Linked DNA regions of Rattus norvegicus. The protein of the gene in region 1 purifies or fractionates together with the protein of each later gene. This does not show direct contact. Links are inferred from orthologs where the notes say so. Each region holds a gene or a part of one and is shown in the gene's direction. Other genes may lie near its edges.

The links.
Region 2: the proteins of Cdk15 (region 1) and Fkbp5 purify together in Homo sapiens (affinity purification with mass spectrometry; 3 studies listed by BioGRID and IntAct, counting the BioPlex papers as one, with this or other methods). This does not show direct contact. The link is inferred for Rattus norvegicus from reciprocal best matches to the Homo sapiens genes CDK15 and FKBP5.

What each region holds. Positions count from the first base shown.
Region 1 is NC_086027.1:68,284,668-68,300,674, forward strand, and holds the end of Cdk15 (cyclin-dependent kinase 15), read left to right. Parts: intron 1-8,769; coding exon 8,770-8,879; 3' UTR 8,880-8,888; exon of another isoform or gene 8,889-8,912; intron 8,913-11,861; 3' UTR 11,862-14,551; downstream 14,552-16,007. UniProt on the Homo sapiens protein: Serine/threonine-protein kinase that acts like an antiapoptotic protein that counters TRAIL/TNFSF10-induced apoptosis by inducing phosphorylation of BIRC5 at 'Thr-34'.
Region 2 is NC_086038.1:6,479,867-6,495,935, reverse strand, and holds part of Fkbp5 (peptidyl-prolyl cis-trans isomerase FKBP5), read left to right. Parts: intron 1-6,425; coding exon 6,426-6,568; intron 6,569-7,305; coding exon 7,306-7,420; intron 7,421-16,069. UniProt on the Homo sapiens protein: Immunophilin protein with PPIase and co-chaperone activities. Component of unligated steroid receptors heterocomplexes through interaction with heat-shock protein 90 (HSP90).

The sequences.
Region 1 (16,007 bases):
ACACTTACTGGTAAATGTGATGCAGAGAACAGAACAGAGATTTAGGCCTGGACGTATCCTCCAAGAACATACCTCAAGGCAATGAGTGAGGCTGCGATGGGACCCACTACAGTCAGTTGACAAACACAGAGGTTACCGCCACTGTGGAGAACCAGGATAGCTGTGAACGGATCTTGAATGATGGGCCGGGGAGTTGAGGAGTTGGCTCAGTGGGCAAGAGTGTTTTCAGTGTAAGCATGAGGACCTGAGTTCAAAACCAGCACTCATACAAAGTGGGGCACAGGCCAGGCATGGTGGCACACAACTTTAATCCCAGAATTCAGGAGGCAGAGGTGGAAGGATCTCTGAGTTTGAAGCCACCCGGGTTTACAGACTAAGTTCCAGGACAATGAAATCTTGTCTTGAAAACAAAAACAAAAAGTGTGCATGGCCTGTGACCTCAGGATCTGGGACAGCCAGCCTAGACAAAAGCCTCAGCTTCAATGAGAGACTCTGCCTTAAAAACTATGGCGGAGAGTGATCACTTGGGGCACCCAGCATCTCTCACTGGCATCTGTGGACATGCAGGCACGCACAACACATGCACACACCCTAAGACTTTAAAAAGAAGATGATGAGCCTGCATGGTTAGGGCCAAAATAGAATCAAAGGAGAGAAACGTCCCACACATTTCTAGGAGGGCAGGGCAGAGGAGATCATATGTACCCCAGGCTAGCCTCAAAATCTCCATGTAACTGACATTCCTTCTGAGCCTCTTGTTTCAGAATTATAGGCAGGTCTACCACTCACAGTTTATGAGGTGTTGTGGATGGAACCAGGCTTTGTGCATGCTAGGCAAGTGCTGTTCATGTGCTATGTCCCTAGCGCTGCACGCCCCTCAGTATCCCTCAGTGTTAATCTAGAGCTGCCTTCTTGGGGAACAGAGGCAAAATCTTGAACCCAATACATCACAGCTTTTCCTTTCTTTATAACATGTGTTCTTGCAAAAGCGTGCACTGAGGAATCTCCTTGTGTGTGCTTCTGTATGATTTCAAGCTGCTTCTGTTTGTTGCTTATTTATTTGTTTATTATTTTTGGACTTGAGATTCTTGCATTTAATAGATTAGGAATGCAGCCACTATCACTGATATCAACAGGATTCCACTTCATTCTCTCAATGAATTTGCTGCAACTAAAGGTGGAAATATTTCTATTGTTTTTTTAATTTTATACTTAATATTTATTTTATATCCTCCCTATAGTTTCCCCTCCATCCTCTCCTCCTACTTCCTCCCCCCGTTTATTGCTTTTTTAAAAATTATTTATTTTCTGTGTATGAATGTTTTGCCAGTGTGCATGTATATGTACATGTGTGTGCCTGGTGTTCACGCAGGTGGAAGAGGGCATTGGATCCTCTGGGATCGGAGTGTCAGCATCCTGTGGAAGAGCAGTAAGTTCCCTTAACCACTGAGCCTGTCCGTTCCGTTGTTTTTGTATTCAGTTTACCCAAAGTTTAATTAGACTATGTTTGAGGCCAAGTTTCAAAGAAAGAGACCTCTCCCTCTCTCTCTCTCTCTCTCTCTCTCTCTCTCTTTCCTGAGACAGAGTCTTGCTACATAGCTTTGACTGGCTTAAAACTTAAGCCAGGCTAGCCTCAAACTTGTGAATCATCTTCCCACCTCGACCACCCAAGTGTGAGGATCATGGGTGTGTGTCACATATCGGGAACTAAACAGTCTAACATAGACATTTTCTCCATCCATTCATCTTTCCTTCTTTCTCTTTCTTTCTTTCTTTCTTCCTTTCTTTCTTTCTTTCTTTTTCCTTCCTTCCTTTCATCTGTTCATTCATTCATTCATTCGTGTGTGTGTGTGTGTGTGTGTGTGTGTGTGTGTGTGTGTGTGTGTGTGTGTGGTGATGTGTTATTCCTCATGATAACATTTTTGAGACAGTAGCTTTCACTGCGACTTGGACCTCATAGATTAGACTAGTCTGGTTGACCAGTAAGCCTCAAGCATTTGCCTCCCCAGGGCTCAAATTATAGGCCTTTACCACCCTTTACCACCATTCCTAAATTTTCTGTTTGTTTTGGAGACAGATTTCTTTGTGTAGCCCTGGCTGTCATGGTACTCACTGTGCAGACTAGGCTGGCCCAGAACTCAGAGATCTACTGGCCTCCCAATTGCTGGGATGAAAGGCGTGTACTGGTGGCTTAATGCTTGACGTTCTATGTGGGTTCTAGGAATCAAACTTGGGTCCTCATTCTTGTACAGGAAGTGCTTTATAGATTGAGCTGAGCTATTTTGCCAGCTCCCTTTCTCCACTTTTTAAATTGTTTATTGAGCAGTATTTTAAAAGCAACCAATTAAGAGGTAAATGGAGGGTCAATGAGATGTTTCAGTGGATAAGGGTGTGTATTTGGCAAGCCTGACAGCCTAAGTTCAGTCCCTGGGCCTCACAGGGTAGAAGAGAACTGACTCCTTCGAGTGTCCTCTGACCTCCACACAGGTGCTGTGGTATGACCGCATGCACCCTCTCATACCCCTCGGGCACACATACACAAAACAAATAAATGTAATGAAAAATTGAAAAGACTAAAGAAGCAAATAGAGGAGTGTCTGGTGTAACACATTAGTCACTCTCTTCTTTAAAGTTGTCCTTAACACATCCCCACATTCCAAGTGGAGATGTGGCTTTCCATGTTGCATACATTTGTGTGGCTAGGAGGTCCCTCAATCAATTAACCCTTAGTCCCACCAAGCCTGTGCAAGCTTCATAAATCTACTGGCATCACGGGTTCAAAGAGGCTCTGTAAAGATAAATCATTCCGGAAAGAATGAGACCTTAGGCAGGGAAAGGACCCTTAAGGCCGCTGACACTGGAGAAAAAAATGTCACCTTTCTTGGCATCTGTGGGCTTTTAAGTAGAGCTCACTGAAGCTAGGCGGGAATGACCACTCTCACATCACAGATTTAAAAGCTGGCACTTCCAAACTGTAGTGATGCATACCTGTGACCTCAGTACTCAGGAGGCTGAGGCAGGAGGATGGCGAGGGTGAGGCTAGGCTAGCCCACCTAGGAAGACTGGCTCAAACAAAGAGGAAAAGGAAGTTTGGATTGAGAGTGGAGTCACCCAGTTGGAAGTGGGGGAGCCAAGACTCACTCACATGAGGCTCTAGCCCAGTCTCCCCAAAATTCACTTCAAACACAGGAACATTATAGCTACACTGCTTTAGAGTCAAGGTCCACTCCCAGGTCCAGCTTGTCACTGCTCTGTTTATTGTAAAGCCTTTCTGGGAAAGGTTCCACCGTCCCTAGGTTGAATGGTTCACACATCAATTTCATACGTCATAGAAACTCACACCCCAGTCCCCTGTGCTGCGAGGTCCCAGCACTGCTGCTCTTGCTCTTTGTGATGCTGTCCACAGGCACCCTTGGGTCTTAGGAGTTCTTACTCAATGGCGGTCACTGTTTTTGTTTCACTCTGTAACCACCGTGCAAGAAAAACGAGAATCAAATGAGAATGGGAGAAAAGCATAAAATAGCAATTTATTCGAGAGGTACCAAAGCAAAGAAGCATACATCACGTGGGAGGCGACTCTTGGGAGGCAGGGTCTAGATAAAACCAAGTAACTGCCGAAGTTTCTTTCCTTCAGTCCAATGACTCCCCAGTGCAGGTGAGGTGCCAATCTAAGCATCTTCTGCTGACAGAAGTGGGGGTCAGGGACTGTGCCTTCCATCAATATCAGATTCAACCAATATGTTTGTCCCTGAAATTACCAGGCTAAACAATTGAGCAAGCCTAAAAATAACCAGCAAGCCAGGCCACGGCGGTGTACACCTTTGATCTCAGTACTCAGGAGGCAGAGGCAGGCAGCTTCTGCATTCTAGGCTAGCCTGGTCTACAGCTCGAGTTCCAGGATAGCCAGGGCTATATAGAGAAACGCCGACTCAAGAAACAAAGCAAAGCAAAACTTAGATGTATGCAAATGCGATATATATATATATATATATATATATATATATATATATATATATATAATGGTTTGAACATTACAAAGTTAAAAAATAAACAATTTAATTACTGAGCCCCGGAGAATGGATTGGATTAATATTAATGTGTTGCCTGTGCTGTATACCATTGAAGCTGCTCACAGGAGTGTGAAGTATATTGGTAGCACATAATAAGCACATAAGGCCATAAGCTACATAAAACCAAAAGAGAGAATAAGAAAGGATAGAAATGAAGGAGGAAGAGGAGGGGAGAAGGGGTCGGAGGAAGGGAAGGGGTGGGGGAAAGGGAGGGGAGGAGGAGGGGGAGGAGGAAAGAAGAGAGAAAAGCCAGCAAATGCCTTTAGCCCAGCACTCAAGGCAGCCACAGGTGGTTCTCTGTGCATTCAAGGCCAGCCTGGTCTATATATAGCAAATTTACAGGTCATCCAGAAATATACAGTGAGACACTGACTCAAAAACCAAAAACAAAATTGAGACTATAAAATGGCGTATTATAATCTACTTATGAAAGTTATTTGCATGTGAACAAACCTGAAAGTTAATATAGAGAATAAAAATGTTTTAGAATATTCTGGATCATTTTCCCTCCTTTCAGAATTTTCTGTAGTGTTGGTGATGCCATTTTTTGGTTTTAAGAATGGATTAAAGCAAACTGTGCAAGGGTTCTGAGCGCTGGACTGAGAATTAAAGGCCTATGCTTCCTTGTTCTTTTTTCCTTTCTCAAATCCCAGATGCACCACTGGCTTTCATAAGCCTTGATTTTTTTTTTTTTTTCCTATCTGCACAGTGGGTTAACACCAGTTTCTTTTAACCCAGGATGAACTGAATGTTTATGAAACCTCGGCTCACTAAATACAAGGGTTCAAGTAAGTGAGGCGAGACAGAGAGGAAAGACAAGCAGGTACTAATTAACGTAAAAAGAAAAGACCATCTGCTTTAGTGAGAGATGGGTGTGTCCCGCGCCCCTGGTCGGAGCCGAAGTGCACTCAGTGTTGGTTAGCAGTTTAAGGAACCCCGTGATCCCTTGGGTTTCGATGACATGAAGCTGCCATGTCCCCAAATGAGCCAAGACGGTGGCCTTCTCAGACAGAAGTGCGCACTCTGAGTAATCGAACACTCTGAGCAGCTGTCGCTGGTGGATTGATGATGTTCGAGACCAGCACAGAATCACATGACCAGGGAAACAGCAAAGACACTTTGCAAGGATGAATTTCCAAGCTCCTTGACTCTCCCCTTCAGCCGGCACAGACCAGGGAGGTTTGATTATCTCATTTCCTGCGGTGGTGATTCAGCGCCCCAATCCCATTAAGCCACTTTCTGCACTCCAGTGCACAGGTCTTCCCCAGGTTATCAGCACGGGCAGAGTAAACGGAGACACTGGGATCGGATTTCTAAGGAAGAGAGTCAAAGCGAGGTTTGAAAGGGGTGACAGCCAGCTGCCAGGAGCCCAGGAACTCAATTAGACTGAGAGACAACTATCTCATTATTTCCTCTGAAATGATCTAATACATAAGAATCTAAAAGTTTTAAATAAACTTGTCTTACCGACAGTCTAGATGACTGAATTTCCCTTCTCAAAAAAACTTTTTAAGCACCCACTTTCGTATTTATTTATTCTAAGGGCAAAGCAGCTGTGATAATTACGCTGTCAGATTCACTAAGCTAATGAGCAGTCACTGGAGTGGAAGGGCTTGCCTGGCTGAGATCACTGAGGGAGAGCCGTCTGCCGCCTCCCGGCTTCTCTCCTCTCTCCTTCCTCTCTTTTTCTTCCTGGCTTTTACATTTTCTTTCACTGTGACTTAGCAAGGAGAGTCTGGCAATCCACAGCCAACTTGAATCCTTTTGATTAGTCTCTCTCTCTCTCTCTCTCTCTCTCTCTCTCTCTCTCTCTCTCTCTCTCTCTGTGTGTGTGTCTCTCTCTCTGTCTGTCTCTCTCTCTCTCTCTCTCTCTGTCTCTCTCTCTCTGTCTCTCTCTCTCTCTGTCTCTCTCTCTCTGTCTCTCTCTCTGTCTCCCCCTTCCTCCCTCTTCCTCTTCTCTCTCTCCTTTCCTCTTCCTCTCTTCCTCTCTCCCCCTCTTCTCCTTCCTCCTCTCTTCCCCTCCCCTCTTCCCTCCTCTCCTTCTTCACCTCCCCCTCCCCTCCCCCCTCCCTTTCTTTTCCTCTTCCACTCCATTACTACCCCTGCTTTAGAAAGGCAAGGAAGCCCCAGGGTAACCCAAGCTTTTCATGCCACTGTCTCCAAGGCAAGAAGAGATTTCTCTTGGAGACAAACTCCTAAATCAGCTTGGATTTGAGTTGACAGAGTCTGCTAAGTGTACACAACGTCTGTTTTAGCTGTTTAACTGTTTATGCTGTGATGTGAGTTGGAGAGTAAAAAAGGGAATATCATAGCATCCCTGTGAAAAATGTCCTATTTGGATCAGCAAAAATTAATCCTCCTCCCCATTCCAGCCTAGCAAATGTATTATTTTAAACCAAAGATGTCAGTCAGAACTGCAGGTTTCCCACAGCATTGATTTATTTACAGTCACAAGGCGGAAACAGCCAGCCTTCCACAGTGTACAGCATTGCTAAGCTCTGACGTCCTACAAGTTAGGTTTGCTAAATGCTTATTATCGTTTTGATATAGGGTCTTAGTAAATGCATTTTTGTATTTGTTTATTTTGGGTATTTTGTCTGCATGTGCTTCTACACACCAGAGAAGTCCAGACCAAGCAAGGCAAGGCTGACAGTGCAAGCTTCTCCCTTCCCCTTGGGTGTGAACAGCTTCAAGCAAATGATATCATTACAACATGTTATGCCTTTGGTGTGCCAAACATAGAAGTCTGTCTCTGATAAATTATGAGCTATTCAGACCAGGGGCCTGGAAAAACATGGCCTGCATGTGAGGACGCTGAAGGCAAGTTCTGTGCACACATTTGGTGACCAGGGCTCCTGCTCTGGTCTGCTCATGCCCCCAGCAATGACAATTGTTCAGTGCCTACTTTGTGGCAGGAACTGTGGAAGTCGCCACACACATGTTCGTTCGTGTTTAGCACACAGCTATCTGCTGGGAAGTTTCTTCCCTCTCGTGCAGATGAGTCCCTTAACTGAACGTTAACTTAGGAAGGACCTGGCTCGTCACCTCAATGAGTGTTCACAGAGACCAAGGGTGTGTAATAAACACAGGTGTCTGTGGAACTGCAAACTGCCAGGGTGCCCACCAGTCAAATACAGGCTTCTCCCGATGGGCAATGCTTTCATTTAAGAGTTGATTCGACATTATAATAAACTGAAAGCTATATGCATTCAGTAGTAACCATAAAATGGGCCTTCCGTGCCCCTGGGTTCCAGGACTGTCTGTGCCTGTCAGTTTCAGATTCAGACAACTCCACAATTCAGGGGGAAATGTGTCTTAACACAGAAAGTACCTAACATAACCAATTTTCTCTTGTCATTGTTTTCTTTAAGATGCTGTGTAACTATTTACACAGTGTGTACCACACTAGATGTAATTAATAATAAATAATAATAAAGTAAAATAAATAATAATAAATAATAACCACGGTAGTTCTAGAACCAGGGCCCATGGGTGCCTTTATTCCAAGTTTTGGTCATTTTGGGATCTAGCAATGCACTTTTTCCACACTGGGTTGTGGCAGACTGTTACAAGTTCCCAGTAGCACAGTCACAAGGCGGAAACAGCCAGCCTTCCACAGTGTACAGCATTGCTAAGCTCTGACGTCCTACAAGTTAGGTTTGCTAAATGCTTATTATCGTTTTGATATAGGGTCTTAGTAAATGCATTTTTATATTTGTTTATTTTGGGTATTTTGTCTGCATGTGTTTCTACACACCAGAAGAGGGCATCAGATCCTGTGGGACTACAGTTATAGCCCATTGTGAGCCACCATGCAGGTGCTGAGAATTGAAGTCAAGACTTCCGAAAGAATGGCCAGTGCTCTTAACTGCTGAGCCATCTCTCCAGCCTTACTAAGTGCATTTTTGATGGAGCTGGAGAGATGTCTCAGTGGTTAAAAGCAAGAGCTGTTTTTCCAGAGGATCAATTCCCAGGTTCCATTCCCAGCACTCACAGCACATCTGTACCTCCAGTCTCAGGGGACCTGATACCCCACTGATCTCCTGCCTCAGGCCCTGCATGCACAGTGCACAGACCTACACAGAGGCAAAATACCTGCACATATAAAGTAAAAAATAAATTTAAAAATACACTTTGATTTATGATATTTATTGTCTTTCTTTTATGCTGGGGATTGAACCCAAGAATTTACAATGGCTTACCAGGATATATCCCTATGGTAAGCCAAGGAACATCTGTCTTTGTAAGGATGTAAGGATGAAGGTACTACATAAAGATATTTCAAAAAAACTTAAATTTATGAAGGTCATGCCTTAGAGTTTATTTAGACTGTCTTCAGAGACAAAGGTATCTGACAAGGTTTTAAACCTTCCTTAGGCTATCCAGCCCACCTGATGCCCTCGGCCTGACTTGGTGGGAGCACAGTTAACACACCTTGGCACACCGCTGGGTGCCAGATCCTTCCCCAACTTCATCCACTAGTGTTTGGTGAGTGTGCACTGAACTGAATTAAATAAGGAACATTTGACAACTATCGCAGATTCGGTAACAAACCCTGAGTCAGCATAAATTAGGAGTGAGTCTGCCTATTTTGACATCTCTTTGAGTAACGGATGTTACAACAGGCAGACAAAATACGTGTCCTGTGGAAGAGTTCAGGAAATACTATATCAATGCTCTTCTCTTTTCCTCCCTACAGAGGAGTCTCTCTTTGCAGTTTCCGGAGTGGAGCTAAAGCCAGAAATGTGTGACCTTTCTGCCTCCTACAGGAAGGGACACCTCCTAGCCGGGGTTAACAAATGTTGGTGAAAAGAAAAGGTGAGGTCATCTACGTCTTTGCAGGTGAGCGGCCAGAACCACGAGCAATGGATCAATGGATCTCTGATGGAGGACGGAAGTGTCCGCCCCTGTCCGGGGTCTAGAACTTTATCCCTACTCCTAGGGCAACCTCCTTCAGAACCCCACTCCCTAAGCTGGAGAAGGGATGAGGATGTGCATGGCCACTTCTACTCCCGGAGCTGTGGTGGACTCCTGAGTAACAGCTTGAAGATGTCCACCAATACTGGTAGAATAAAAAGCTCCTGTGACATCGTCTTTTTCTTAGCTAGGCAGGCCTCTGTGTCAGCTGGCAAGACACATCAGGGTGAAAGTTGACCAACAGACCCACTTTCCCCAAAGGCTGCAAGGTTTCCTTCCTGGGGTGCGGGATATTCGGTGCTGAAGTGACATTTCTTGCTAAGTCGGGATCCTTATCATCTCAGTGGTGAATTCTCTTCTCAATCAGTTTCAAGGGGCAAAGGCTACAATGGTAGATTTTCCCAGAAACATTGTGCCCTAAAAGGTATTTCATGCACAGCTAGCTTCTGCCAGCATGCACAGAAGGCTGGCAGAACACTCCCCAAAGCCAAGCACAGACACACTCAAGTGTCTCAGGAGCACTTCCTCTACTGAGCCTCTGCCCTGGGTAGGAGGGACAGTAATCTGGGTAGAGTTAAAATGAAACCAGGTACAGGGCCAGCCAGCCCTCTATGTGTCCCTGGCCAGATTCTAAATCCTAAGTACTATTCTCTGATAGGACCACGTTGGCAAGCACACCTTGGCCATGTCTCCTGGTGGAAACCCCTGGGATATCCCTTATGTGTGCACCCGAGTGTCACTCACAGGGAGGTCTCCTGTTCTTTGTGACTTTCTTGTTGATCTCTATCTCTGACTTTCCCAATTTAAAGGCGTCTATGAACCAAAGACGTCTGCCGTCTGGTTCTTCAGCAATGGCTTGTCTTTAAAAACCAAGGAAGAAGTTTAGAATTAAAGCTATTTCCCAGAGCATTTTATAAAAGGCCTAAGTTTTGTATCTTGACCATGCACAGTTGAAATTACCATCAGCAATATTAACCATGTGGTATTCCCTGTGCAAAACATTTTCTCGAGTTTTTTGAGTTTTGTTTTTGTTTTTATTCCTGTGCCATTTCAAACTAACTAGTCAAGAGCAGGATGAACTGAACTCAAACTACAATCTCCAAGGTGAAGGGTTAAATCCCTCACACCATTGTCAAAAAAACAACATTCCTTCTTGAACTAAAGACTGAACCCAGGGCCTGGGGTGCGATAGGCAAAAGCTCTAGCTGCAGCCTCATCAAAAAAACGCTCCAATGTTTGCCTGCCTTGGTGTCGCTATTGCTTCTTTTGTTGCTACAGACTCCTCCTACTTTTAAAAAAATATTTAAATTTTGTTGTGAGTGTTCTAGCTTATGTAAGTATGGGTATCACATGTACACCTGGTTCCTCAGAAGGCCAAAACCTGGCACCAGATCCCTGAAACTCGAGTGACAGACAGTTGTGAGCCAGCTTGTGTGGGTTTTGGAGAAGCACCTGGTCTTCTGCAAGAACAAGAAGTGCTTTTAGCCACTGAGCATCTCTCTGCCCCTGATTTCCTCTTACCTAAGCAGCCAGAAGGGAGGCAGAAACCCTGCCTTTCTGATCTACAGGGGACTCTTACAAAGAACAGCTACCTATAGAGTAAAATTGGTCACAATGGAAAATCAATTCGATACAGTATGTGGCACTCAGTTCTAGCAATGGCGGGAAGGAGGAGGCAGACGTGGCCTCTGTAATCTTGTGATATCCCTATGCTTCTGTTCTAACACAGAGATGAAACCTGTGGGAGATGAAACACAACTGGGAAAAACTAGAACACGTAAACTGTTTAGTAAATGACTTGGGGTCTAAGGAACCTAAATGGACACTGGGGGTCTGTAAATCTTTTCCTCTGACTCTGATTTATGTTAAAATATTCACTTTTCAAGAGATTCCAAATATAGATTTGGGTATTAGGACTTGGAAACTGGCAGCAGTTCCTCAAAATCAAGACTTTCAGGAGAGCCATAAAAATATCAGTTTGGGTCTTTTAAATTTTTTTTTCTTTTTCTTTTTTTCGGAGCTGGGGACCGAACCCAGGGCCTTGCAGTTGCTAGGCAAGTGCTCTACCACTGAGCTAAATCCCCAACCCCAGTTTGAGTCTTTTAAATAGATGTTGGTGCCCACAGCAAAGACAGGTCGAGGAGCTGAAGTGCTACACCAGCCCCTGTCACAGGTGACTCTCGTGTGTCACTTTATAACCCACAGATGTGGTGACATATAACTGTAGCTTGTGAGGTCAGAGAGATATTTTTAAATAGTTTTAACCTGCCTCTGCCTCTGCCTCTGCCTCTGCCTCTGCCTCTGCCTCTGCCCCTGCCCCTGCCCCTGCCCCTGCCCCTGCCCCTGCCCCTGCCCCTGCCCCTGCCCCTGCCTCTGCCTCTGCCTCTGCCTCTGCCTCTGCCTCTGCCTCTCAGTTGCTGGGATTAAAGGTGTATGCTACCACACTCTGTTCTTTTTAAGTTTTCCTGGTTCTCATTATGATGGACACAATGATGCTTGTGGCTGGAGAGGTGTTCAGTGCTTAAGACCACTGGCTGCTCTCTCACAGGGCCAGGTTTGGTACCCAGCACCCATGTGGTGGCTGGCAACTGTCTGTTACTTCAGTCCCAGGAAGTGCAGCACCCTCTTCTGGCCTCCTTGGGTCCTGCATATGTGTTACACAGACATGCCTGCAGGCAAGAAGCCCACACACATAACAATAAGAAACACAATGACTATTTTAAGAAGTTGCCTCTGCAATCTTTTGTATCACCTTTAAAAAAAACCCAGTGTGGAATTCCGTGGGTAACTGAACTGGTGCTTAACCAGTCTCCTCTCCTCAGTCTGCGTCTTCTCTCTGTCGTTTGACTTTGTCCATCCTTCTTTCCCTCTCAGACCTGTAGCCATTTGGTTTCCTGTGTCTGCTTACTAAGAAGCTTCGTGCCCTCATTCATACTGGATCAGAGATCTGTGTTCTCTCTCGCTGCCTGGAATGTTTAAAAATGTTGAAGGCAACGGTACAACACACAAAGAGAGTGCAATGGAAGGTTATTGCTGTTATTGTTGCCTTAAAGAAAGAAAAGACATAAACTGAGGTGACGTGAAAAGAGCTAGCTCTTCAGAACAGTTTCAACCATTTTGATGAGTCCCTGGGCCCAAAACTCTATTTCTTTATGGGACAGACTGGGAGACAGACAACTGGGAAGTTCTAGAGCCGGAGCTGGTAATTGCTGAGGTCTGCCATGCTTGTATTCCCTTACAGTCCAGCCCACCCCCACCCCCGCCCCAACTGAAAGACTTCTGTGGCGTGGAGGGGATTAGTCTGGCTTAGGGAGGTCTGTAGGAACGTGGTCCCTTGGATAAAGTTGTCAACAAATGGACTTGCTTGGGACTATTTGTGATGATTCCAGGGTTCACTCTTCCTCCTCCAGTGGCTATCACAGTGTTTACTGCTTAAGTACACCCAGATTTCGGGAGTTCAAACTGGGCTGCCGGCTAGAGTTGAGTTTCAGCTCTCACCTGCTACCGAGTCCTAATTGTCTTCAGAGATGGCAAAAGCGACAAGGAACCTAAGCTCCCACTGATGATGGAGATACTGGAGCTCCAGAGATGCAATTCAATCGTGGGGCACCACCAGGCACATGTGCACACAGAGACCCCTCAGCAGGAGATCCGCCCGGCTGATACACTCGTCCACTAAAGGAAGCTTGGGAAACTCAAATTACTTCATCAAGGGATCATCTCAGGCAATATAGTAGCCTAGAAACCAGAGACCACTATGTATCCTTTAGGAGGACGAACCAATTAAGAGAGAATTTAAAAATGGTAACTATCCACCCAGTGTCTGAGATGAAAGAAGGGGGGAAAAATGCATGCAGATAATCCTCCAGAAAGCCGTCTTTGTGTATATGAGCAAGCCATTGGACAAAACCTGCCCACTGCACCTGCAAGGTGAAGTGTGTGGGCTGGGTGGGGGCTGACAGGGTGTGTGTGTGCGCAGAGAACAGATCGTATTCAACCTAGCAAGATGCCAGTGCGGATATGGTGTGGGATTCAGACCTGTTCCGGTCAAGGATTTTCAGTGACTACTTGAATAAATCAGAGAAAATGCATACCTTATTCTTACAACTCACTGAAATAACTACTATTATTATTCCACCGTATAAGCGTGGTCACGGAGGCTCTGAGAAGTTAAGTAATTTCTCTAAGGCGCCATCCCAGGGTTCAAATGGAAATTTCGAGGCTTGCTGTGTCCAGCGTCTGAGATCTTTCCGGTAATCACGTCTCTATCGGATTTGTAGACCATTCTTCTGTTGAAGAGGCAGCTGATGTTTCCCATTGGATCATGATTCGGGGGATGCAGACCCGGATAATCAGCAGCAAGTCAAAACAATGCTTACTCCCGTCAGGTTTTAATCTGATTTAAATTCTTACACGTTGGGTTTTAAATGCCCGCAACTTAAGTAAGGCTGTGTGACTTAGTGGGAAGTGGTGCTTTTAAGTATGAGGTGAATTAATTACGTAATCTAGCTGCCCCCAACAGATAATGCTAATCCCTTCAGGCTACAGAAATGAAAGATTAAGACCATGCCGCACAAGAGGAAAAACCGCTTAGCCACTTCTGATCCGGGCACATTTAAATCATTAAGCTCAACTCCACATATCACATACCACACTTTAAAGGAAGCAGTCTACGAAATAGATGTTTATTGAGCACCTTTTAGTTTGTGGATCTAATCTTGTGTAATCTTCTTAACAACGCTAAGACATAGTCAAGTGTACAGAGAACACTCAGTATCAGATGTAAGTCGCTAGGGTTTGATGTACAAACTCTGTCCCCAAAGCCTGTTCTTCCCCAACACATGTCCAACTCTGCTGCATGCTCCAAGGTGGGCCACCAGGAAGAGCAAGGCATGCGGGACAAGCTGCTGTAAGGGAAAACCCAGGAGCCAGAGACCCTCCTTCCAGTGGTCACAAGGCAAAGGGGCTGGTGGGCCACTGCACGGATCGCTGCTGCTCTGGGTGGGTGGACCAGGAAGCCTCTCTAAACTCTCGCCGGCCCATGCGCATAGACAGAGTCCCCGCCACAGAGGTGGCTTCCTCTGCCTTCTGGACGGTAAGGAGGGCAATAAGCCAAGGTTCCTAGGTGGAAGTAAGGATTCTTGCAGATTCTCGAACATGGCCTCAAAATGTCTGTGACAGACTGGCTGCATTGGGGTGTCTATACGGTCCTGTAGCTGCAGAACAGACTTGTTTTATTATCTATGAAGCACTTTTTTTTTTTTTTAGTTAAATGAACAAATTATCTTCTTTCGCCATGAGGTGGTGATGTACACCTTTAATCCCAGCACTCAGGAGGCAGAAGCAGGCAGATCTGTGAGTTCGAGGCCAGCCTGGTCTACAGAGTGAGTTCCAGGGCAGCCAAGGCTTCACAGAGAAACCCTGTCTCAAAACAAAAGACGAACAATTATCATCTTTAATTTTAAGTGGAAGACAAATTATCTATGTACTTTTTTTCTCTCTCTTTCTTTCAATGGGTCTGCCTATTGGAAAGATAAATAAAAATTATGCATATGTCTCTAAAACATTGAAACTTTCCTTCATTCCTATTTTGTAAAAGCTTTCCTGCTATTTGTGCATCTTTCCTCCCACGACAGACACACACTTAACTCTTTAAAACATAATCATTTGACTAGGAGTACTTAGCCATTACTGCTATTCCTTTGGGATTTCTGTCTCTGGACCATCCATAATCAGACAGATGTCCTAGTAACAGATGTACTAGTAACAAATGGTACTTCCTGCCTCGTTAGTGGGTGGGGGAGGAGAGGACATCACGATTTGTTCTGGCCAATGGACTGTGAAAGGAAGTGATGGGCATGTGGGCGGAGCATTCACTGGATTCCCAGAGCGAGGCTCTCAGATTTGCTATGTTTTCACTGCTATATGGGACTGAGGCACTCAGGGTGAGCCTTGGGTGAGGAGATAAAGAACGGAGCTCCCAAATGACACATACAGTGGGAGAGAGAAATAAAACTTTCTGGTTGGGCTGGAGAGATGGGTCTGTGGGCTAAAAGCCCACACTGCTCTCGCAGAGGCCCTAAATTAACTTTCTAGTAGATCCCAACATCACCATCAAGCATCTCGCAACCACCTGTAACCCCAGCTCCAGGGGATCCAATCCCCTTTGACCTCTGACAACACTTGCATTCACACATGTACCTATCATCCCCCTTACACACATACATACACACATACACATACACATACACACACACACACACACACACACACAAAACAAACAAATAAAAAAATCCACTATACCCCTTTAAGCTACAATATCTTGAAGTTGTTACTAAGTATAATTTAAACTTTCCTGACCAGGAACATAAAACACAGACCTGACTGAACTGTTCAGATTTGGTGATGAAAGTATTATATATTTCTATCTTTTCTTTATTTCTTTTGCCATTGTTGGCTCTGGGATTGAACCCAGGAGCTTGTGCACACTAGGCAAATGCTCTCCCACTGGACTACATCCCCAGCCCTTAAATATTTCAATTTAAGTGATTCAGTTAAGTCTAAAACACCAGCCCCTCCGTCTCACATTCCCGGGGCTCAGGAGCCATGTGTGGCTGATGCCGGCCGTGTGGAAAGTTCCATCACGGAGGACACTCTGTTGGACAGTGCTGGCAGAATGGCAGGGTTTTATGAAAGTTGGTAGTGACACCTGCTAGCATCTTAGTGTTTTAGTTAAATGCATCTAAAAATACCTTAGAGTTAGTCTCTAAACTTTCGTCATTTTAAAAGTGAGAATGACTCCGGGAGAAAGCTGTGAAGATTAGCTTATAGAAGAAAGCCATGCATTCTGAGCAACTAGGTGTTTTAGATCCAAACAGCTCAAGGTCTTTCCCTGAAGGTGACATCTTTTGGTTACTCTTAACATCTTTCATAAATGAATCCCCAAGGTACTGTTTGTTATCTTAGCCCATCTTCTCAGAGCCTCTGAGCCTCAGATTTTGTACTTCTAACTCTTCCCTA
Region 2 (16,069 bases), on another chromosome or scaffold:
CCCCCACTGTGTGCCCACTGCCCTTCCCCTACTGTGTGCCCAGTGCCCCCTGCCCCCTACTGTGTGCCCACTGCCTCTACCTCCTACTGTGTGCCCTCTGCCCTCTCCCCTGTTGTGTGCCTACTGCCCTTCCTGTACTGACTTTTTTTTTTTTTTTTTTTGGTTCTTTTTTTTTCGGAGCTGGGGACCGAACCCAGGGCCTTGCGCTTCCTAGGTAAGCGCTCTACCACGGAGCTAAATCCCCAGCCCCCTGTACTGACCTTTAAACTCCAAGTTCATTGTCTACACTGTGAATAACTGCTCTTATTATAAACCACTGTATAACGTTGAGGTGAAAATACCACATACCATAGCGTACATCAGCCCAGCACAGTAAAAACTATTGTAACCTCTTGTGTCGTAACTCTCCTTACTGAGCAGTCATATAAAACCTTTTGAAACGATGCTTAGCTAACTTTTTTTTTTGTCCCAGGAAGTTGGGAAAGAGAAACAGAATCAGTCTAAGACCTGGTTGTTAGCACAGTGCGCTGTGTTCCAGGATAGAACGGGACAGTTGCCCTTGTGTGCTCGTGTTAGTTTTGATTTTGTTTGCAGTGCTGTTGTCCACTTGACTTTTTTTCTCTAAAGCATCCTTCCTTGATTGTGAAGTGAGACAGAGAAGTCCTTTCTTCAAGTCGTCATCTATCTCCAGCATTCTAGGAGGTAGAAAATATCAGTGTCCAGTTCTCCTAACAGTGTTGAAAAGAATTCCTTTTCTAAGGATGTCTCTTGTCACCCCTGCTGAAAATCACTGAGTGTGCAACTTTTAAACATATGCCTGCGTATAAGATCTGAGTATGTTTAGAATCTGACAGCATGAAAGTGGTTTTGTTTGTCCATGTGGAGACAGGTGGAGGCCCACAGGTCTGTTCACTTGCACACAGTGAACTCACACCTCAGGTGTGAGGCAGTGCAGTGGGGGGAGAGAATGGCCCACAGCATGTGTGTGCGCATGTGTGTGCGCATGTGTGCTCCACACCTGCTGCTCTTCTCTGGGCAAGGACGCATGGCAGTCTGTAGGGTCTGTAAACACAAAATGCACGATGATGCTGTGAAGTTAATGTGTAACAGAAATGTTATACTTCATACATCTCATACTCCTAAGCCTACAGACACTTTACGTCACACTCAGTACACTTAATGACAGGACTGAAGCTTGGCAGTCGCGCACACCTTTCATCTTCCACTTGGGAGGCAGAGGCAGGAGGATCTGTATGAGTTCCAGGCCAGCCTGGTCTACAGAGTGAGTTCCAGGACGGCCAGGAACACACAGAGAAAGAAGCTCTGCCTGAAAAGAAACAAAAAAGAGAGATTAGAGCTGGAGAGAGGGCCCTGCAGTTCAGACCCTGGCTGCTCTTCCAGGACCCATTAATTCCCAGCCACCGCCATGTAAGCGGAACACTAATGCGCATAAAATAAGGGAAAATAAATAAAATAATGTTAAAGAAAAACACATTTAAACACCGAAGACTCGGCCGTGATCCAGCAGTCTGCTGGGTAGGGATCAAAGGGACTATGCAAAGGTTCTCATGTGCACACACACGTTAACAGCGATGTGGACACTGTGTCCAGGGTGGAGGCAACTGAAGTGTCCTTCTGCACCTGACCGAAACAGAATGTGAAACCGCCGCATGGTGGATCATTATGCAGGTCCCTCCCCTCCGCCCCACCTTTGGTTTTTTTGAAACAGGGTTTCCCTGTGCAGCCCTGGCTGTCCTGGAACTCACTCTGTAGACCAGACTGGCCTCAAACTGACAGATCCTCCTGCCTCTGCCTCCCGAGTATTGGGATTAAATGTCTGTGCCACCACACTTCATTGCTCAGTCCTAGAGGAGAGGAAAAGTCTGGCACATGCTGCATCCGTGATGAACCCCAAAGACATTCTACTAAATGAAAGAATTCAACCAAAACGTGAATGCTGTTTGCCTCCACTTGTATTATGTGTTTATAGAAAAAGAATGTTTGCCGGTGGCTGAGAGGAGGGGGTATGTAATCAAGTATAAAGTTTCAGATGGGTAAAGCCAGAAGAAGAACATTCTGGAGGCAGGCTGCGTAGCAGGTGTGTGTAGTCATATCAAGTGCACTTTGTTCAATCACAGCAAAACCTGTTTGAAGCCAGGGGAGCTATGCAGTAAAACCGCTAGTCCGTCCATTATTAATAAAGTCGTTTTCATTATAAAGGGAAGTGTTTTTTAAAGTATTGTGTGGGTTTTTTAATAGTAATATATATATTACTACAGAAGAAAGAAAAAAATATACCACATGGCTCTTACCCTGGCTTAGTGTAACATTTTGCTTACTTACTTGTGTGTGTTGTGCAGATGGGTGTAAGGTTCACGTTTGTATGTGTGTGTGTGAAGATCGTGTGTGTGTGTGTGTGTGTGTGTGTGTGTGTGTGTGTGTGTGTGTGTAAAGATCGGCCTTGGAGCTGTCCGTGCTGCTTTGAGGAAGGGCCTCCTCCCCTTTGGATCTAGGACTCACCCATTCAGCTCCACGTCTCTCTCTGCTTCTCGCACTGGCTTAGCAGCACTGTCCCTGCGCCTGGCTTTTACATGGAGCCGGGGCTGGAACTCAGGGCCTCACACTTGACCTGCAGAGCTATTTCCCAACATTGCCTTTCAATTCAAATTCCTGTGTCTTTGTAGATACAAGAGGTGTAAGTATGTACTATTTGATATTTTGTTACAAGTGGAATAGAACTCCTAAAATTGAAACATTGTGTTTGAGGTAGTAAAATTGAGACCCAGATCAAATGTAGGAATAAAAGTCTTTTTTTTTTTTTTTTTTTTTTTTCCGGAGCTGGGGACCGAACCCAGGGCCTTGTGCTTGCTAGGCAAGTGCTCTACCACTGAGCTAAATCCCCAACCCCAGAATAAATTTTTTAAAACATTTTTTTGGCATATTCTGTCTACAGGAAAAAGATCCTAAAGAGGAAGACTCTTTGAAATGTTGGTGCTTCTGGCCCACTGGTTCTCCTTCTAGCGTTTGGTCTAGTTTTGTTTGCAGATACCCACAAGTGCCCTGGGCATTGACCCTCCCCAGCCACAGACCACCAGGAGCACGCTGCAGTTGGACAATCTAGGTTTAGTCCTTTCCAGAAAGGTACACAGTAGGGACGTACAGGATTGGAGAGTGCGTGGCAGGAAAGTTGTTGGTAGCGTTGTGGGCTCTGGTGTGATCTGGGTAGTTCTGGACAAGCAGAGTAGACAGGGTACTGGGTGATCCTGGGCTGGAGAATGAGCCTGGATTAACCCATGGTGGGATGCAACAGTTGCCCAGAGCAGCCATGAGAGGGGGCTGTTTGATATATTTGGGTGCACAGTGACCTTATTTTTTATCCAAGCTTAGATGAAATGTTAAGTGTTCTTGTTTTGTCTTGAGGTGGTGTTTTATACTCTTGTTTGTGCGCAGTGGCGACTGAGTTGGCCTTGCTCTGAGCCCCAGGCTCACCTCAGACAACAGCCTGGCTGCAAATGTCAGCACCTGGCCATTACCTGGGACTGCGTTTTTATTTCTCTTAATAAGAGTCATCTTTAACCTAATACCCAGGTGTACTTTTTCCAAGTATTTTGTTTCAGTAGATTTAGGAAACATCAAGATTAGTGGTAAAGAGGGAGAGGACTGTGTGAGAAACTTGTAGGACACTCGTGCAGATCTGCCCCAAGAAGTGCTGAAAGCCCTCTTGGATGCCACTGAACTCGAGGCGGTAAGCAGTTAAAGTAAGTGGCCTTCGGACACTCCACCAGGAGTGCCTACATATTGATCCTGCATTGTTCAGGTCTTATTCTGCATTAAAGGAATTTTTCTCTAACCTGGAATGGCCATACTCACAGACAAAGCCGTGGCCACTAACATTCCATGAATTAGCAAGCTGGCCATGTTCTAAATTTTAAGATGTGTATGTTGTTTTGCATGATTCTTCGCTTAACAGTTTAATGTCAGCCAGTCCTGAACCTCTCAGTTACAGGCTTTACCACAGAAAGTCAGTCAGACACACGATTGTTCACTGGCATCTGATGGTAGCAAAGGAAAGTATCGCCCTGAGCTAAAATGGAGTGGTCTGGTTAGTAAAGGGCGAGTGTTCAGACAACATCAAGAAAGCGGCTTTTATAACGTGAGCGGTGTTGAGAAGCTGCAGACCAAACAATGAATCAGCTCAGTTCTCAGAATAGCATGTGAAAGTCAACATACACCAAACAGAAGCTATGTGTGTAATTTACAGGTGACAATTTCCTTGGTTGCAAGGATTTCAGAAGTTTTCAACTAGTGTTCTCTACGTTTCAGTGTCTTCTTGGCGCTGCTGTTTAGAAAGCTGGTCAGGGAATGAGGTGGTTCCCACCTGTGATTCCAACAGCAGATGGGAAGGGGGTGCAGGCAGAGGAGGAGAGGGTCAGGGTTATCCTTGGTAATGAAGAAGAAGGAGGTCAGCGTTGGGGCACCTAAGACCCTGTGTCAGTAATGACAGCAGCGTCGGCCCAGACCTTCCTGTAGTAACTCCTGTGCATTGCAGGATCCTGTGAGGGACAGGAGCAGGGCTCACCTTTAGAGCCCAGTACCGTTTGCCACCAGTTCTTGTGACACGTGCACACATGCAATAAGTAAAGTAATCCATTTTAAAAGAAGAATGGAGATAGATGGGGCTGGTAAGGTGACCCCTGGAGCCCTGTCAAGGTGTAAGGAGACACTGACTACAAAGTTGCCTTCTGACCCCCACGTGTCCACCATGGCTCAGGCACACATCCTACACAGACTGTACACTCCTCACATGTGCACGCCTAAGGAGTGACATGGAGGAGCACTGGTTAGATCTGTGATCCAGCACTTAAGAAGCTGAGGTAGGAAGATTATGAGTTTGAGCTGAGCCGAGCTGTATAGTAAGACCCTGTCTCAAATGACCAAGAGAGAGGGTTATCTGTGGTGGTGGCTGCAGGGGCAGCTTTCCTTTACTGAATTGGACTAACACCAGACACTGCGTGTCACTGTGCCGTGCATTTGGACTGCGGCTCTTATTAAGGTTCCCAAGTCAGGAAACATTGAACTTCACAGGTTTTCAAAGACCTCAGGTTGGAATCCGGCACGTTGAACCCCCTACATTGCATATCTCCCCTCTAGTAACCCAGAAAGGAGATGACATCATTAAGTGAAAAGGAGTTCAGAACTGAATGACAGCACACTGCCATAGGCTTTTCTTTTCTTTTTCCTGTTTTTGTATTGTTTTGTTTTGACTTTCAAGACAGCATCTCACTGTGTAGTCCTGGCTGTCTTGGAGCCCTCTCTGTGGACTAGACTGGCCTTGAACTCAGATCTTCCCGCCTCTGCCTCCCAAGTGCTGGGATTAAAGGTGTTGCCGCCACCACCTGGCATGTGGAGTCTTATGATAAGCATGTGCTGTGGAAAGTTACAAGGAAGTGGAGCTGGTGCTCTGTCATGACAGAGACTGAGCTGAAGTCCCAGATAGCAATCGCCTTTTCTCCTTGCCTCCATACAGACAGGGTCCCTTGGTCCTAGTGTACCGGGTCTAGTCTGTCGCTCTACTTCCTCTGAACTTCACTGTTTATCCGGTCCTACTTGAACATGTTTGTGTGTGGAAGTCAGAGAACAACCTTACAGGAATCAATCTCCCCCCTTCCCCCCACCCCCCATCACTTGAGTCCTGGGGATCAACGTCAGGTCAGCAAGCTCGTCAGCAGGTAGCTTTGCCTGCGCATCTCTGTGGCCCACATGTCTAAGGTTTTGATTGACATAGCACCTCAAGTGTGTTTTGTTGTTAGTGCTAAAATTCTTTGTTGTTTCCCAAAGGGTTTGAGACTGCTTACAATAAGACATAGTTTTGTTTTATTTTATTTCTTTTTATTTTATGAACATTGATGTTTAGCCTCCATGTGTATCTGTGTGAGGGCATCTAGTCCCCTGGAACTGAAGTTACAGACAGCTGTGAACTGCCGTGCAGGCACCGGGAATTGAACCTGGGTCCTTTAGAAGAGCAGCCAGTGCTCTCCACCACTGAGCCATGTCTCTAGCCCCTAAATGAGACATGATTAATGGTGCACATGACAAGAGCTAAGAGTATGACTCAAGCGTGGTGCACACACCTGTCATCCAGGAATCTGGAGACGAGGTGATCAGCAGGATTAGGAGTTCTAGGCTAGTTTATACGGCCTGAGGCCATCTCAAAATTTCAAAACAACGACTTGTAAATATAACACGGAACAGGTTGCCTGCTACAGCCCCACAGTTGGGCGGTAAAGCTGAGTTTCTGAAGCTGGCAAGAGAGGAAACTTCCCAAATTTTATAATCCTTAGGATTTGTCGGATCTGGATTTTGTTTGAAGATTTTGTTTGACAGATTTGTTTGTTTTTTTCCTTTGTTTTCTTGCTTTCTCTTAGGCCAGGTTATCAAAGCCTGGGATATTGGGGTGTCTACCATGAAGAAAGGCGAGATCTGCCACTTATTATGTAAACCAGAATACGCTTACGGCTCTGCTGGCAGCCTCCCGAAAATTCCCTCGAACGCAACTCTCTTTTTCGAGGCAAGTATGTGTGTTGCCGCCGCGTCGGCTGTGCTGTGCCGCACCGCAGAGCGACATGGAGCTGGGCTTCCGCTGAGAGCTGAGAGCCTGCTCCGGCTTATTTATTTTGGAGCTTGGCTCCTTGAATTGTTTCCCACACACCCAGGGGATGTGCCAGTGCTTTCTTAGAAATGTGTCTCTGGCACAAAATGGGCATATCCAAACAAACAAAAGACGCAGATGTAGAAGTAAAAGTTCTGGTCAGCAGAGGAAAGTAAGACATACTCCAAGCTGACAGGCCGGAAATGGTGGTGGGGAGTGTTAAGTTGTGAAGGTTTACGACTGTCTCCTCAAATCCATCAGGATCAGTGAGTGTTGGTGCACTGTTTACTGTGTTGAATTAATTACATATAATTGGCCAAACTGGATCTTTATCTAACATGGTGAAAAGCTCATCTCAGTTGGTTGAAGGCCAGATTCTTAAATCTTAAGATGGAAACGCCACAAATCTGGGTGGGAAACGGGTGTCCTGCGAGTCAGCCAAGATTGTTCTGTGCCAGCACCTTGTACTTCTGGCCTCTGGCCCACAAGGCAGTTGTCCTAGTATTTCCTGTCTGTCTTTGCACTGCAGCCCCACAGGATGAAGTCCTAGACAGTGCCATTACACCGAGTTCTCTCCAAGCCGTGTGCATCAAGATGTAGTTTAAAGTTCTATAAAATACCCATCTGTTAAACTGGCTTCATCTTTTCCGTTCTAGATTGAACTCCTTGACTTCAAAGGCGAGGATCTATTTGAAGATTCAGGCATTATCCGGAGAATCAAACGAAAAGGAGAAGGCTACTCAAACCCCAATGAAGGAGCCACGGTGGAAGGTAAGCAGTGAGGACTGCAGGAGCCGGTCCCTCCCTGAGGAGGAAGTCGTTAGACTCTCTACAGGAAGAAGAGAGGCGATTTAAACAACCAGAGTGGTTGTCCTAACTTTGGCATGTACATACGTGTCACTCGGGGTTTGTTCTGGAACAAAGATGACCTCAGACAGGAGCAGGAGACTGGGGTCTAAGGCTAGCTGGACCTCTGCGCCCTCACCCCTTCCTAGACTGAGGCCGTGCTGGGGTTCTTGGTTTCAGAGGCTCCACTGACAGCCCCAAAACACCCTCAGTGGGAGTCACGTTTATGAAAATTGCAAGGATTAGAGAGAGCTGTAACAGCCACTTAAAAACTTACTCGTAATATGGTTTCATCTTTTATTATGAAAAATTCAAATCTACACAGCAGTTTCTTTTCTGTGCTATGGGAACTCCCCCAGAGTCAGTGATTCATAATAATCTGTTCTGTTTGATTGATTTGACAGAGCGTTTGTTGAGAGCAGGAGGTTAGCGCCATCCCTGTCCCGCTCCCGTTAGTTACCACACGGACTCCTTCTCTAGTCTGAATTCACGTTCAGACTCTGGAGCCGCATTTAGCTCCCGTGGCTTTATTCCTTTCTAATGAGTTAGTCTTCTGTCTTTGTTTCCTGTGACTTTGACACATCTGAAGATGACTCTCCATTTGCTGGAGAACACCACGCTTTAGGTGTGTCTCATGCCTGTAGGGACTAGATGGAGCTTTTAGAGAATGGCCTGTGGGTGGCGCGGTGCCCTCTTTAGTACTTCATCTCCACCTCCTCCACCACCACCACCACCACCTCCTCCACCTCCACCACCACCATCACCACCTCCTCCTCCACCTCCTCCACGACCCCAGCTTCTACTGGTGAGTGCTGGGCGAGGGTAGTGCCTCCTGTGTTTCTCTCTGTGAAGTTACTCTTCGTAAGCGCTGAGTGAGGCAGGAAAAGGAGTGCTGGGAGGCCACCAACCTTTACACGGCCCACGCACTAGCGAGGTTCCGTACAGCGGCCATTACTGTGTGTGTGATTTATAGCTGTATGTTGTGTTCCACTGCAAGGAAGAGCTGTCTCTTCTCCCTCCCTGTGTTGATTTTGCTGTTTAATTTGTCAGCACACACTAGGGGGATTGTCTTTTCCAGTAAGATGCTGACCGTGGAGAGTGTCCTCCCTCCCATGGGCTCTGTTCACTGTGTCACTGCCTTGCTTGTTGTTTGTAGAGAACACTGTTAACTGCTTTCACTTTGTCTCCTCACTCTATGGTGCTGTGAGAGGCTCTAAGATCACTTGAAAATCCTGCTGCTCCAGGCCTGGGATCATCCCTTTCACCAAGGAGCTGTTTCCTGCCCCTGGAAAATAGCATCTAGACACTGTCAAGTGCTCGTGTGTGTTTGTGTGGTGGGACTTCATGCTCCTGGAGCTCGGGAGTGTACTTCAGAAGTGTAGACAAGCATTTGCACAGGGCTCTGTTCAGCCACATGTGTATTTAAAACATTGAGTACTGGGCAGAGCAGGTAAGAGCACTGGCTGCTTCCTCAGAGACCGACGTTCAGTTCCCAGCATGTTCATGGCGGCTCACAACTGTATAACTCCAGGCCCGGGGAATCTTAAGCCCTGCTCTGGCCTCTGAGGGCATTAGGCACACATGTGGTACACAGATATACACGCAAGCAGAATGCTCATACATGTAACAATTTTTACAGTGCCATATACGTACAGTGCCACTCAGCACCACAATTCGTTCTCCTTTGCTCATCTGGGACTTCTCTTTGCAGTATAGCCACAGTTAGTTTACATCTGCAGGCCCAGCTGTGTGTCAGGTCGCCCATTGTGGTAAATACCAAGAGTTTCTGGGTTTCTGGGTAAAACAGAATGGTCAGGCATGGGCTACATTTGGACTTTGGAGGTCTTAGTCTGAACTATGGAGTCTTGCGATTACTCCCTTGAGCATCTGGTTGTATTGTGTGTAAATGAGGCTGATTTTCCAGTTTGATTGTGATAGGTGTGACATGGGGTCCCTCCGATGTGACAGGCTTTCCCTTCTACCCCTGTGCTGTGTTCATAACTTGTGTGCTTCCTTCACCGGGGCTTAAGGAAGGAATCCTGACACCGTCTGTTTCCTGCACCAATCCCTGGTGAATCTGTGTGTAGTGATAGTCTCCGTCTTGGTGTGTTTCTTCTCAGTGGTGGTCGGCTGTGTTTTTGCGTGAGTGGCTGGTTGGAAGGCTGTACACCATCATCTGCTGCTGCTTTTCACATTGTGACATTTATTTTTTTCTCAAAACAGTGTGCTTTTTTACTCTTATCAAAATTCTCATTTTTACAAATCAGTTGAAGCTTCTCCTGTGCTTTTTCTTGCCAGGTAAAATGACTGTCGTACTGCTTGTGTTCTGTGTTGCCCTTTTCCATCATAGAGAAGGCAGTGTGCTCTGAGGGCTCTAGGGGGCGTGGTCGTGAGGACTGACACTTGCATCATCACACTTGTGTATTCGCTTGCCCTGGCTGCATCGCCACTCGAAAACTTTGCAGTCAAAGACCATCTAACTGCGCTGAAGCAGAGCTCTGAGTAGCTCCCGTCCCTCTGCTGTGAGCTCCTATTTTGGGTTTCAGATCGGTGGTGTTGGAGGTGGGAACTGACCACAGCAGCATCGTGGGCTCCTGGGCTCTTTGGCCCCAGGCTTTCAGCTCCTTTTGAACGGAGCTGCAGGGCATGGTGCTTTCAGAGCAGAGTTTCAACTGAAATCTCCCGGTCCCTCCCTCCTAACCAGATGAAATGCTATATAGGTAGAGAAGGAGGGAGGTACTCGAGGTGATGCATACCCTGAAACCCAGCACTCTGGAGGCTGCAGTTGGAGAATCTGTAAGTTCAAGGCCAGCTTGGTCTGCTAGTGAGTTCCAGGACAGCCAGAGCTACACAATGAGACTCTGTCTCAAAACAGTGAGAAGAGAGAGACAGAGAAATGGATTAGACATGGGAGCTTATGAAATGCATACATACATGGGCTTAGACGGATGGAGACTGCGTTCTGTAAATCCAGCCTGAAGCAGGCGCTGAGGAGACCTCTGTGGAGGTACACGCTGTTCTTAGCAAGTGCAGGCAGAACTCCAGACTCGCAGTCAGCGGGTGCAAGGGAGCCAAAACAGGCTATGGGGAATCATCAGGGCTGCTATCAAACAGTATGGGGCAGCCAAACTAGTAAGCTGCTCTACTGCACGACCCTCAGCCTTGCCTAGTGAGAGCTATCTCAGTGCCCAAGCCTCCAACCCGTTAGTAAGTCTCAAAGGAGAGACTGGCAGAGGCAAATATTTTAAACTCCCCAGTGACTCCAGTTTGCAGCCAAGGCCTGGAAATGAACTGCCTGAGGATCTGTCTCGTGATTTTTTTTTTTTTTTTTTTTTTTGTTCTTTTTTTCGGAGCTGAGGACCAAACCCAGGGCCTTGCGCTTCCTAGGCAAGTGCTCTACCACTGAGCTAAATCCCCAACCCCCTGTCTCGTGATTTCTGCTCAAAAGCTAAAGCCTGGCTCCAGAGTGCAGCAGGGGCAACTCAGAGGCTGCAGGTGTCTGCCTTGGGCTGGGCGTGGCAGCGCTCCACAGTGGTGAATAATGCTGTGAAGAGTTCTGTCTCTGGAAGGTAGAGCCGTACACCAGCAGTCAGGCAGGGCATCCCCAGCCTGTGTGTATAGCCTAAATACATAAGAAATCTTGACCTGTCTCCTTCACAATCACCCTGTTGGGAAGAAGCTGTCATGTTGCCTGCTTAGGATGTCAGTGACAGGTAGCTGCCGTCCTTTGAACATCTTCAGGTGTATGTGTGCAGACGGCAAGGATTGGTCAGCAAGTGTGAGAAGATATAGGGCAGATACAGAGAGCGGGAACACAGAAGTAGTTAAAAACTAACAAAGCCAAAATCCTGTCCAGACATCTCTGAAAATGGAAAGGAGATAAAGAAGTCTGGAAGCTAGTGTGCGTCAACACCGTGCATTTCCGTGTGCATTAACACTGAAACTCCGTAAGAGCCGGAGTAAGGTGGGCAGTGCCTCTCACCCACGCTGGTGAGCTGAGCAGTGGGCAAGGAAGGAAGACCGGTGTGGGGACCAGTGAAGAGGAAGGAGGGGGAGTAAGGGTCGTCTTGTCAGTCATGGGACAGAAGATCTGCAGAGCAGGGTTGTGTGGAGACTTGCACAGGGCAGGTGGCAGTGGAATATGCTAGAAAAATATCCAGGCCAGCAAACAAAACACTTGAGGACTGGAGCTTAATGCCTGGTACCCATGTTGGGTAACACACAACCATAACCCCAGTTGCAGGACAGCTGATGCCCTCTTACTCCCCCAAGGCCTCTGTACACAGGTGCACACACACGCACTGCACACATGGTGTTGAGCTCACTGGCCATCTGGTCTAATCAAATCAGAGTCTGTGAGGGACCCTGTTTTAAAAAAATAAGGTGGAGCCTAACATAGTGGCACCTGTCACTGGGAGCAGAGGCAGGTGGATCTCTGTGAGTTTAGGGATAGCCAGGGATGCATGCATGAATGAATGAATGAATGACAGCAGTCAAAGGCACCAGGACTCATAAAGTCAAAGCAACATGGTCAGGCTGTTTGTTCCCTGCACATGAAGGAAGGCACACATACATGAAATTGAGGTAGAGTAAAGGCTTCATGTATGTTCATGTATGTCACACTAATGTCCGAAAGTGCTGTGTTCTGTTGTTCAGTTGCCTTTCACATACTGAGTGATGGCAGCACATGACCACAGGACGAAATCACGGGGTTGGTTTGGTTTTTTATTTAGTTGTTTTGGTTTGGTTTGGTTTGGTTTTCGTTTTGAGACAGGGTTTCTCTGTAGCCCTGGCTGTCCTGGAGCTCAACTCTGTACACCAGGCTGGCCTCAGACTCACAGAGATCCACCTGCCTCTGCCTACCAAACACTGGGATTAAGGTGTGTGCCACCATCGCCCAGCAAAGTCAGGGGTTTTTAAACCATTCATTATTTCTCAGAAAGCAGCACTGTGCATTCTCAGTCTAAGTGTGCAGTGTTCTCTCCCCTGTGTTTTAGATGTAGGTAGCTCCTTTCTCTAGAATGTATCTCCAGGTCTTCAAGTGGGGTCAAATCATAATAAAAAATACAACAAACCAGTAATGCATGGTACATTTTAGGATCGTGTACAAAACAAAAGCTCTGGGTCAGTGGTGCATTTGATAGCCTCCTGGAGCTGGTTACAATCAGAGGACAAACAAAACAAAAGCTAGGTGTGGTGGCACACACGATTAGGACCAGAGGCTGCTGGATGTCAAGTTCAAGGCCAACCTGGTCTATAGAGTGAGTTCCAGGACAGCAAGGATTATACAGAGAAACTCTGTCTCCACAAAACAAAAGTGAATAAATAAGGGTACAACTGATAGATTCTCTCCAAAAAACAAAAGTGAATAAATAAGGGTGCAACTGATAGATTCAGAAAGGAAAATTGCCACTGTTTCCTTAAAAGCCCTGTCTGTCTTCTGATTGGTCATAAAGTAAATACGTACTGGGGTCCTGAGCTGTGGTGTACAAAGGTGTGCAGAGTTCCAGCCTGCCCTGCTGGCCTCTTCCTTGTACTGTGTGGGACATAAAATGCATTCTTACAGGGACCCTCAACTGTTCGGTGGAGGGCGACTCCCTACTAGTGTAGAGGAATGGCCCTGTGTGTCGCTCCTGAGGTCATCACACCCACACTTAATGCACGGCTTGCCTGTGGGCAGACAAATGAATGCCAGCTCTGTCAGATGCTTTCAGGTAGAGCTTAGCCTCTTTTTTTTCTTTACAATTAAAAAAAAAAAAATGTGTGTTTTGCCTCCCTGTATATCTATACATGCATGCCTGGTGCCTGAGGAGGCCAGAAGAGGGCGTCATATCCCCTGGAACTGGGCTTATGAGCAGTTGTGACACACGTGGCTGCTGGGAACTGAATCCCAGGTCCTCTCCAAGAGCAACCATGCTAACACTTAACAGCCAGGCCATCGGTCCAGTCCTTTGTTTTCTTCAGAGACAAGGTCTCATGCCACTAAGGCTGGCCTTGAAATACTGGTCCTCTGGCCTCTCTGCCTCTTGAGTCACATGGTCATCAGATTTCCCCCGAATTGCCCATCCCACTGTGCCCACTCTTTTTTTTTTTTTTTTTTTTCTTTTTTTTTCCGGAGCTGGGGATCGAACCCAGGGCCTTGCGCTTGCTAGGCAAGTGCTCTACCACTGAGCTAAATCCCCAACCCCTACTGTGCCCACTCTTAATTCTTGGTTCTTTTGTGTGGTTGGGAGTCAGACCTAGTGATCTGAGAGTCTAGAGTAAGCACTCCTCCACTCAGTCATCGCACAAGGCCTGAGCTGCTGCTGTTTTCCTTGTTTGCTTGAGATCAGGGCTCGCTGGGTAGCTCTCAACCTCTTGCCTCTGCCTGCCAAATGCCACCACACTTGTCTTATCCTAGCAATTTCAGGCTAGCCGGTGTCACCTCGCCATAGATGGAGAGAGAGCCCAAGCGCCCCACAGCCAGAGTTGTTAGTGGCAGTGTTTCGAGGCAGTGGTTAGTTTCGAGGTGTGCTCACATCCTGCGAGGTTGTAAAGGGAAGAACCAAAGATCATAACTGCCATTCTTGTAGGCAGGGCCCTGCCTGCCCTGGGCCTGGGCTAGGGTCCACCTCACAGTGGTCCTTCCCCTGAATTAGAACAGAGTGGTGCGGAGCAGGCTGTATGCGGGAGATCTGAGCCCCAGGCCTGAGAGGAGTGGTGTCCTTGTGGTCAGTGGTTAATGTGCCTCACTGCTGCTTTAAGAGTCTGCGTACCTCCTCGGGGCTTCGTAACATCCACTCCCCTGGAAACCCTTGCCCAGTGTGATTGACTGGCCACAACCTGGTTTTCTCTAGCCAGATGACCAGTCTTTTCTAGTAGCAATGCTGTTACAACACTGCCATTCAGATCCTATGACCCAGTCATTGTTTGGGGACAGCGCAAAGCTATTAGACGCCAGCTGCTATAATTAGAGAAGAGAAAGCAGACACTCACCGAGCTAACGTCTTAGGCTCTGGCGGTCACAGCATTAAAAAGTTCTATAGCCCTTGTCCTCAGTTTTGCTTCCTGAAATACAAGCTGTACAGTTTGGGGCTCCTTGCACTCCAGTTTTTGTTACTGCTGCATTCCCCCCCCCCCCCATTTTAATCGGAGAACAAATTGCTGTCAGCACACCGAGTTCATGTGCCAGCCACATTCAGAACAGGGTGTTCTGTGCTCTTCAAAACAAAATTGCTCTAGGGCAGTAAGAGAACAATAAGTCAGAGCTGCAGTTTAAATGATGTTTTGCAGTGACCAGGCTCACTTGATGTGGTTACACTCTGGATTGCACAGCTAAATGTGGGTAATTTGGTTTGGTTTGACTTTGTGGGGTTTGCTGGAGGACCCCCTTTCAGGTTACGTAGACTTTTAAGTCAAGAGAAATACTGCCACTTTTAAACTTGTTTATTTCTCTTTACCAAAATCCCCTAAGTAGAAGCATCCTGTATGCATTCTGTTCACTTGGAGAACATGGCAGATCACTACTTCCTGTAAATCATGCTGGGTGACATTAGCAACAGACCTCCCGAGCCCTAGAGGCTGAGCTCCCGAGTGAGTCATGGCGGCTTGTATTAAATATTTATGAAATGAGTATTTGTACTATGGAATACAAAGTCAAAAGCACCCACAGGTCTTCCAGAGACAGCTGAGGAAATGGGTTCCTAGGAACTGGGCGCTTCTGCATATATCAGCTCAGGGCAAGTTCTCACTGTGCAGCAGAAGCCTGCCAAGGCCCTGTGCTGTGAGTCCTGTCAGCAACCTCGAGGACTTGTCACACGTGTTCAGAATAAATGCTCAGCCCGTGCTGACCTTTCCCCTGTAATGGGGAGAATCCCCAGCTGCGTTTACTGTGCCCTGATCCTGCAGTCTTTTTATTAGATATATTTCTTTACTTACATTTCAAATGTTATTCCCCTTCCCCGTTTCCTGTCCATAAGCCCCCATCCCCTTCCCTCCCCCTCTCCCATATAAGTATCCCCCCCTTACATCCCCCTAACTGCCCCCCACCCCATATTCCCCTGCACTGATCCTGCATTTTCCTGGACATCACATTTCCTCGTGTTCTGAGGTGGTTCGTGCATGTATGTGTGAGGTGAAGCATATGTGGGGATGTCACCTAAGACTTTAACTTGTAGCATTATGTATGTGAGTGTGCACATAGAGCTGAGAGGAAAGGATTCTCTTCTTCGACCATCTGAGGCCCAGGTAATGAGGCTGGGACATCAGGTAGAGACAGGCAACCTTGGGCTGCCGATCTTCCAGACACAGTGGGACAACTTAAAATTGCCTGCAACGCCAGGATCTGGGCATCCGATGCCCTCTTCTGGCCTCTGGGCGCCTGTACATACATAGCATGTAGTCAAACAAACACACATAAATTAGCAAAACATTTTCTTTTCTTTTTAGATTTTATTTTATGTGTATGCGTTTTTTTGTCTGAATGTATGCGTGACTGTGCCCATGGAAGCCAAAAGAGGGCCTTAGGTTGCAGGAGCTGGAGGTACAGCAGTTATGAGCTTCCGTACCCGAGCTGGGAATTGAACCCTGCTCCTG